Caenorhabditis elegans: one gene and its partner. The protein of the gene in region 1 purifies or fractionates together with the protein of each later gene. This does not show direct contact. Each region holds a gene or a part of one and is shown on either strand. Other genes may lie near its edges. The genes, in order: kola-5 and fce-1.

Region 1 (4,873 bases):
CTCGTGGAACGCAACAACTACGCCATCATTCAAAATTCTTTTTCGTTCGGTTTTTTACGTCATCGATACAAATTGAGCGACACCATTTCTGGAAATCATTTTGGAAAACTCCTCCTCGGAGCATTTTGTCACTATATCAAGGCAGCGAGAATCGTTTGATGTGTGATGAAAGCGCTTACACGAAATTCCAAAGTGTTATGAATCATCTCATGAACAAAGAATAATAAAAATCAATAATTTTATTTTGATTTAAGGTTAAAGATTTAACATTTAATGGTCTACTTCTTTCTTCCCTTCTCGCCAGAAGTGGCAGCGACAGTAGCGGTGTCAATGACGAGGATGTTTGGACATCTTCGAAGAGATCCGCAGTGTGGTGAGCTGGGTCATGAAGGCTTCCCTCCGAATGATGGCTCATGATATCCCTTGCTAAGACGTGTGATCTTGCCGTTCTTGTCGTTCTGAAAATATTGCAAATTGGATTTGGCACCAGATCAAGATATTCATCGTCCCTAACTTTCTAGCCAGAACTGATTTTGCTGGAAATAGCCACTTAGCTTACCTTGAAGTACTTGAGGACGGCGTACTTGACCTTCTATTTTTCCTCTTTGTAATGGTGTAGGCCTTCTTCTTCCTTTTCTTGAGTCCTCCGAGAAGCTGACAGTTGACGTGACGTGACGTAGATGACGTAGATGTAGATTAGACGTAGAGGGTAGCCTCGATTCCACAATCGCTATTTCCGAGCTGACAACTGAAACAGGGATATATTATAAATTTGTCCGGTTTTTCGAGAATCGCGTGAAAGGAAACTGACCGGCATAGCAGAGTCTCTGCTCCTTGACTGGGATTCCGCCATGGCTTCGTTGTTTTGCTTGGTGCTCGAGACATCGTTGTTGGCGGCGACATCGAAGAACAAAGTTCTGTAGAGTGGCTTCACGAAAACCATAATTGACTGACCCTAGTTCCCTGAAAATATCATATTTGAGTGAAATTTCTGATCCGAAATTCAAACAACAAAAAGAAGTAACCGAACGATATATCCAACTTGAAAATAAAACTGATAAAATAAAAAACTGTGTAAATAGATTTTATAAAACAAATAAACCGATAAAAAATGCAAAAGAAAATATAATTTTTTGTTCGGTTTTGCTAATTAGAAATGATTCCGCGCTAATTAGATATGGCTTTTTCTAGCATTGCTAATTAGAAATGACACCTGGCTGTGAAAATTTGGTTTTTTCTGCCATTTCTAATTAGAAATGATTCAGAGCTAATTAGATCTGGTTTTTTTCTAGCTTTGCTAATTAGAAATGGATCCGTGCTAATTAGAACTGATTTTTCCTGTTTTTGCTAATTAGAAATGCTTTTTAACTAATTAGACGTGGTCCCATGTTATCTGAGAATGTTACGGTAGCAATGCCACGTCTCCAAACTGCAAACAGAAATATTCACTAGTCCCTAAAACATCAAAAATTCCAGCGAATAAATAATTAAGCAAACAAGCTGACCCGATTTTTTAATTCTTATCAGTGAGAAGGAGAGAGCCAAAATTTTATCAGTGTGTTAAACACTTTTGTTGGCACACCCATTTTCTGACACAATTTTGTACATTTTAGCTTTGCACCATCAATTTTTAATCATTTTCCTTTTTTCTGGCAGTTTTCTTACATTAACTGTTAATTTGCATTGCTATAAATTAACTAAAAATTTCAGTTGATGCTCCAAAAAACGGCCCTAATTATTGGGGCGTTGTCCCTGATCTCAGGGGTCTTTTCAGATGATTGCCCATCGTTTTTCAATAAGGATGACAATGGAAATTGCACTATTCGTCAGTGTACAAATGGAGGATACTTGGATGTTTCCAAACAAATTTGCATCTGCCCTTCCGGCTACCTAGGAATTCATTGTGAAGCTGGTATGTATTGAATCATGAATTGAAGTGTATTTTTTCCAAATTTTTTTAAATGTTCATTATTTGTGTTCAGCCTTTTAAATTTGGAAGTTTCACAAAGCGAATCAATTTCAGTGAAAACCTCCCTGCCACCTGACAATCATTTCAAAGTCGGTGGGACTTCCTTCAACATTATAAATATCAATTTATATACGGAGTATTGGGGAGTTTCTACTTATGCAAATATTCAAAAGGTATGATTGCCATTATTGTTCTAAAATGCAAACTAGAAAACATTAGGGATTGGAAGCGCATTTCGACGCCTATCCAACCGGATATGACAACTACAATCTTGTTGAAACAAGGGGAACCCCTTACCTTGACAACATCGATCAACCACAGTATGATAGCAGTAAGCGATTTTATGTTGCTCACGAAACTAGAATAAATTCAAGATTTCATGAAACATTGCAAAAAGCCAGGATATTCGATAGGCTGATTTTTTGGGGCCAATCCAAGCAAAAACAGTTTTTGTCAGTTTTAGCAATGAAATCTTAAAAAATGTATCCACCCACATATCCTGGTTTTTATTGCGTTGACATAACATTTTTGAAAGCCAATGATAAATAACTTTTATAACAATATTTAACAATATTTTACATCTTTAAACTTAAAATTGTTCGGCTGATTTATCAAATATTGCTTGAATCAAATTTTTTAGAAGTTACCCAGATAAACCACTTTTCAGTCAGTTTTAATTATGACAACATCAATTCGAACATAAGCTTCAGTCTGGCTGATCTCGAAGACACTGGCATTTATTGGTGTTATGAAGTGGCCATCTACGAGAATCTTATCCAAATGATTCAAAAGGGAGGACTCAAGAATACAGTGATCACAATCGTCACCCAGCATCCACCACTTGCTGAGTTCCACGATGAAGCACGACAAATTGCAGTGGCTTTCGGGATTCGAATCAACGTTTTGTGGATCAGTGATATTGTGTTCAATGCGTGTTCGGATGAACAAATATCTGACTTCAAGACATTTGTGGATATCACGGGAGGGCTTTTTGTTCAACTGCAAGCTGAAAATGGAGATCAGAACAACATTAACGTAAGTGAAGGAAGTTTTACAAGCACTTTGACATATCAAATTGTAGTGCGTTGTTGTAGGCTAGGTTTTATCATTAAAGTACTGTATTCGCTATCAGGGGAATATTTATTTCGACCAATTTTCGAGCAGCAGTTAGCTAACAATTTTTCAACCTGCCCAAAATTTTCAATTTTGACAGTTGGGATCTCGTGAGGCTCTTACAATATCGGCTGCTTAAGTTCTGGTCTTAAATTCAGTTTTTGTGATTTTCTGTAATTCTCGTTTCCAGCTAATTTCGCAAGTGCTTCTCACTCACTACAAACCGCAGTACGTTTCAATTCAATCATTCCCCGATTGCACTTCTGGACAGATAATTCCAGTGGTTGCTGATCCAGTTGTCAGTGGCCCATACAACTTTGTATTTTTGGGAGGTAGATTTTTACCATCTAGTAATATAAATATAAAACAAAAAATTTCAGCAAGTGCTAATCCAACTATTCCATTGTTTACTGCTTGTCACCTTCGTCAGCCACTGCGTTCTTATGACAACCAACTAGCCATTTTCCAAAGTCCCGATCCTACTAATCCAGATTGCGCAAATCTTAACATCACAACTGCCAGCGGTGGATGCACTGGAATTGTATTTACCAACGCTGCACCGGCGTCTGGCCCACTGGATCTTGCGATTTCTACCACATATGTCGAAAATCCATCGATTGATGCGTCTCGTTACGCAATTGTGGAGGGTGTCCCATTTTATCCAGCTCTGCATGTGGAATCAAATCCTACTGCTCAGATCACATTGAACTCAATCTCGGCTTCATTTGATCGCTCGTGGAATCCGCAGCTTCAAAAGCGTTCGCCAGCTGCGTTTGAATGGATTCCAAGTGTATGTGCATAAATGCAACTCCCATAATTCAATGTTTCATTTCTATTCCAGACAACAATCAAATGTGATTCCACGAAAACTTATTCATTGTTCCTGAACATATCCGTGGACTTAACAATTGTTCAACGTGCTGTAAGAGTAGCGTGTGTACCGGTCCCAGTGATCACGACGACCACGGCAGCGGCAACCACAACAGAACCTTTAGCCTCAACAACAACAGGAGAAGCTTCTTCAACAACAACAGGAGAAGCTTCTTCAACAACAACAGGAGAAGCTTCTTCAACAACAACAGGAGAAGCTTCTTCAACAACAACAGGAGAAGCTTCTTCAACAACAACAGGAGAAGCTTCTTCAACAACAACAGGAGAAGCTTCTTCAACAACAACAGGAGAAGCTACATCTGTAGCAGCCACGACTTCATCAGCTTCATCAACAGTTGTCACATCGACAGAAATGCCTTCTAGCACATCTCAAGGTATGTGTAGGAGAAAATTAAAACATTTTTCAATTTGCAAATTTTCTAATATGACTTTGCTTCAAGTGTACCGCACGCGTTTTTGGGTTTATATTTAGATTTCCACTCCAATTTTTTTGTGATTTTGGCGCATAGCTCAAATTGGGTTTTATCAATTTTTTTGTAAATGCACTTCCCCAAAAAATTTATGACAAAATTTTAATATTAAACCCTTTGAGAATATCTCTCCCTTAAACATAAAGCAAATTTCAGCTGTTTGCACTACACAAGACAACTCTGCGACTTTCTTGTTTGCATATGCTGCAGATTTCGATCCAACTACATATGGCCTTGTCTCTAGAACAATTGGCAGTTATGTCACCGCTAATTTACCAACTGGCCAAACACTGGCTAACGTTTTGACTGATTTGACAACAGAAATGGACATTAAATACACAAATGTTGCAAAGTTAGTTTTTCATTTAAAAAAAAACTATTTATTACTCGTTTTTTACTCTAAAAACTGTTTCTCCGCTCTAGTTTTGAG
Region 2 (4,293 bases), on another chromosome or scaffold:
GACGCTGGAAAGAAGCTTGGAGAAGTTAAGAATGCTGTTATAGAGAATGTAAGTGTTGTAGTATATTTCAATCAAATATTGTGAAAGAATTATATTCAGACAATGCTTGGAGATCTCAATAAAGAACAGGACGAATTTGAGAAGCAATTACAAGAAGAAAGAGATAAACTCAGAAATATTGATTTACCGTGGCAAGGACTTCCAGATGAAGAGCTCGCTAAAAAGCAAATGATGTCATTGTCAACAAACACAAGAAACTTTCTCCGTGATTCAGCAGCTAACAGTGAATATACTTACGAACAGCAACAAGCTATGGCAACTCTTTTACTCAAACATGATCCAAATCTTGCGAATGTTAGATTCCAACTTGTACCCAAACAGTGAGTTTTTAAATTATACTTTTTAAAAAGTAATTTTGAAATTTTACTCTACGTGTTAGGACCTGGACCGTAATAACACATTATAACTGTTAATAACACTTCTAATTTAAAAAAAATGTTGTAAAATTAATAAATGGCTCAATTATATTTCGAATACCCGCGCAAATTTCCTTTTAATTTTTGCAAAATAAAAACAAAAATCATTAAAAAATTCAGTACATTTTTTCAGTTATATTTAGTTATTGCATTCCATTTTCTAACACTTGAAGTAAAATCCCCAACCGTCTCCTCCAACTATTCTTCAAAACTTGAGAAATAAATTTCAGAGTGAAAGAGAATCAATTTTGGCAAAATTATTTCTATCGTATCGGGCTCATTCGGCAATCTATGCTTGCTCAAGGCACGGGAAGAACTACACCGACGCCTAATCCAATTGTTGAGGAAAAGAAGGTAGAAGAGTCAGATGTATCTGCTGAAGTTGCTCCACAATCGTCTTCTGAAATTAAAGAAGAAAAGAAAGAAAATGAGCCGGAAGTGAAGGAAACCGTATCTGAAGAAAGTTGCGAAGACGAGGATGAAGAAGAGGAAGAATTGAAAGAAACTGTTTCTGAACAACCTGCAGCACCAGGAGAACTAACTTTGACAAGTGTCGGTGCGTTCTATGTTTTTTTTTCAAAGTTAAAACTTTGATTATGTTATTTTAAATGCTGAATAAGTTTACGGTTTATTTTTTGAAGAAAGTACATATCAATGAATGGCGGATTGCAAGCAGGGCTGTCACAAAAATAATTAACAAAAAATGCGTGTCTTTTTCCTTCTCGTTTCTGAAAATTAACAGTTTTGAAAACTTTTTTTTAATTCTCTGTCCAAAAATATTAAATTTAAAAAAAAACGACAGCCCTGATTGCAAAGGATTAATGATGATAACTTTCGCCGCATCTTACGGTAATTGATTGTTTGCGTGGTGAGACCCATGCACGTTGGATACTGCCAAAATTATCATCTTTAGACCTCAACGTAATATTTAGACTGATGTCCTACCGCAGTAATATCAATTTAATTCGATTTGTTCCACTTTTTGACCATAAACCGCCGATTCTTAAAATTAATTTTTCTTTCTTTTTCAGATGAAGAATGGGAACGAGAAATTCTCAATGATTTGAACGATTACGATGATGTTGTTGAAAAAACTGGAGGAAAAGACGATGATGCATGGGAAGCTGAAATTCAAGATCTTCTTAATGCTGAATAATTTTTAATTACTATTTTCAATTGCATTCCAAAAGAAACAAATAATACTATTCACTTCGTTTTCTAAAATTAAAAAAAATTTCAGTGTAAAATTGTAAATAGCTCATGTTTTGATGTCCCGATGTCTATCTGTAATTTCAATGAATATTTCGTGATATAATTTACACGTTTTTTGAACTTTTTGTCTGTTCGTTAAACTCGAATCTAACATTTTACTTTTTCAATTTTTTTCAGAATAATTTACTAACATTTCTCATCTTCAGAATGGACGCAAGTTGTCTATTCAAAGCACTTTTAGCCACAAATTGGGCACTATTTTTATGGGATCAGTACATCACATTTCGACAGTACAAGTAAGTTCTCATTGTACCGATTTTTCGCAACGAGAAACATTTTCAGAGCTCATAAAAATGCTGTAAAACGTCCCAATGAAGTCAAAGAACTTATTGGAGAAGAAGATTATAAGAAGGCCAGAGACTATAAAATTGATAATCATTTATTCGGATTCTTCCATAGTTGGTTTAATCAGCTTCTCCTCACGGTTAGTGACTGCTGAAGTTTACTTTAAATGAAAAAATAATTTTCAGGCACAATTGATTGGAGGATATTATCCATTCCTTTGGTACGCAACGGCTAGTTATCCATTGCATGTGGCTGTATTTCTCTCAATAAACTCAATAATTGAAACAATCATCGATTTACCTTGGGATCTATATTCCACTTTTATTATCGAAGATGCCCATGGATTCAATAAACAAACTATTGGATTCTATTTCGTTGACAAAATTAAGAAAATGCTCGTCGGATTTGCTCTCACTATGCCAATCGTTTATGGAATTGAATGGATTATTGTCAATGGTGGACCATACTTCTTTGTCTATATTTGGTTATTTGTTTCTGTTGTTGTGCTACTTTTGATGACCATTTATCCAACTTTCATCGCTCCACTCTTCGACAAATATTTCCCATTGCCTGATGGAGATCTCAAGACGAAAATTGAACAATTAGCTGCTTCTCTCAGTTATCCATTAACTGAACTTTACGTTGTCAATGGCTCAAAACGCTCGGCTCACTCCAATGCTTACATGTATGGATTCTGGAAGAACAAGCGCATTGTGCTCTATGATACTTTGCTAAGTGGAGCTGAAAAGGAGAAAGTACATGAATTGTATGTGGCAGCTGGAGAGAAAATCGAAGAAACTGAAAACGACAAAAAGAGAGGAATGAACAACGATGAAGTTGTGGCCGTTCTGGGCCATGAATTGGGTCATTGGGCTTTATGGCACACTTTGATCAATCTTGTCATCAGTAAGTTGATTTAACTGAACTCACAGCAAAACGTAGAATTTTTCAGCTGAAGTCAACTTGTTCTTCTCTTTTGCAGTTTTTGGATACTTTTATAAATGGGAAGCCCTCTATCAAGTAATTATATTTAAACCATTAAATTCTTAAAATTTTAATTTTCAGGGATTCGGCTATCACGATACTCCACCAGTCATTGGCATGATGCTCATCTTCCAATTTGTCCTCGCTCTCTACAATCAACTCGCTAGTATTGGAATGGTTATTCACTCCCGTTCTGCTGAATTTGGAGCTGACGAGTTTGCTGCTAACCTCGGACACGGAGAAAATCTTATTGGAGCTTTGACCAAGCTTGGTGTTGACAATCTGTCGATGCCTATCAATGACTCACTCTACTCATGGTGCACTCACACACATCCTCCAGTTGTTGAAAGAGTAGCTGCTGTTAGAGCCTTCCAGGCAAAGAATAAATAAATTCCCATGTTTTACTACTTGTTTCTTGAATGCCAAAGTATTTTATATAATTTAATTTATGATTGTAATGTGATATTATTGCATTTTTTGAACTTAAATTTCGTTAATATTCTCTATAGTAAATAAATTTTTTTAAACAAAAACTGGAAATACAATTAAATTCCAAGGAAAATTTTAAAACGGAACGAGACTGATCTCTCGGTCTCTCATTCGCACAAACTGTCTCATAGAAGGGTCTCGCCGCGACTCAAATACAGTACCCGCGGAGAACAAAAAAAATGTTTTCTAGAATGTTCGCTTTATTGTTGTTTTGTTTTGTTAATTCCCGGGAATTTCCAGAAGTTTGCTTTCTTCTGCGAAACAATTCATATCATCATTTTGTTTTTATTAAGATCTCCGTTTTCATTCTTCTTTTCTCTCTCGCATGCTTTTTTCCTATCAAATGAACTGAAATTTTAAAGAAATGCCGTACGACTTCTACACCGACGGTTCCGCTCTCGGAAACGGCCAACAAGGCTCCAGAGGAGGCTATGGAGTTCACGTTCCAAGTGGTACGGTTTTTTGTGCAATTAATTGTTCCTTATTTGAACATATTTCAGATACATCGAAGAATGTGAGTGGCTCTTATCCACACGGACCACAAACCAACAATCGATATGAGCTGGAAGCCATCAAGCACGCCACCCAAATGGTAATTTTCAAACATTCGTACCAACATTCAATTTTCTGCATTTTCAGGCTCGTGATGTTCCAGACAGCCACGTGAGAATCCACACTGATTCCAAGAACGCGAAGGATTCTGTCACCAAATGGAATGACAACTGGAAGTCGAATGGCTACAAAACTTCTTCGGGACAAGATGTGAAGAATCAGGATCTCATCAGAG

What was found.
Region 2: the proteins of kola-5 (region 1) and fce-1 fractionate together in Caenorhabditis elegans (co-fractionation; one large-scale study listed by BioGRID). This does not show direct contact.

What each region holds. Positions count from the first base shown.
Region 1 is NC_003282.8:17,319,085-17,323,957, forward strand, and holds the start of kola-5 (EGF-like domain-containing protein), read left to right. Parts: upstream 1-1,710; 5' UTR 1,711-1,713; coding exon 1,714-1,912; intron 1,913-2,023; coding exon 2,024-2,142; intron 2,143-2,188; coding exon 2,189-2,300; intron 2,301-2,636; coding exon 2,637-3,004; intron 3,005-3,272; coding exon 3,273-3,414; intron 3,415-3,462; coding exon 3,463-3,872; intron 3,873-3,923; coding exon 3,924-4,347; intron 4,348-4,599; coding exon 4,600-4,795; intron 4,796-4,873.
Region 2 is NC_003279.8:9,710,321-9,714,613, reverse strand, and holds fce-1 (CAAX prenyl protease 1 homolog), read left to right. Parts: upstream 1-1,894; 5' UTR 1,895-1,895; coding exon 1,896-1,984; intron 1,985-2,030; coding exon 2,031-2,172; intron 2,173-2,218; coding exon 2,219-2,939; intron 2,940-2,985; coding exon 2,986-3,053; intron 3,054-3,098; coding exon 3,099-3,407; 3' UTR 3,408-3,562; downstream 3,563-4,293. Other genes in the region: C16C2.4 (BSD domain-containing protein), read left to right, coding at 1-48, 88-380, 707-1,032, 1,508-1,632; rnh-1.3 (RNase H type-1 domain-containing protein), read left to right, coding at 3,871-3,958, 4,007-4,098, 4,146-4,293. UniProt on the Caenorhabditis elegans protein: Proteolytically removes the C-terminal three residues of farnesylated proteins.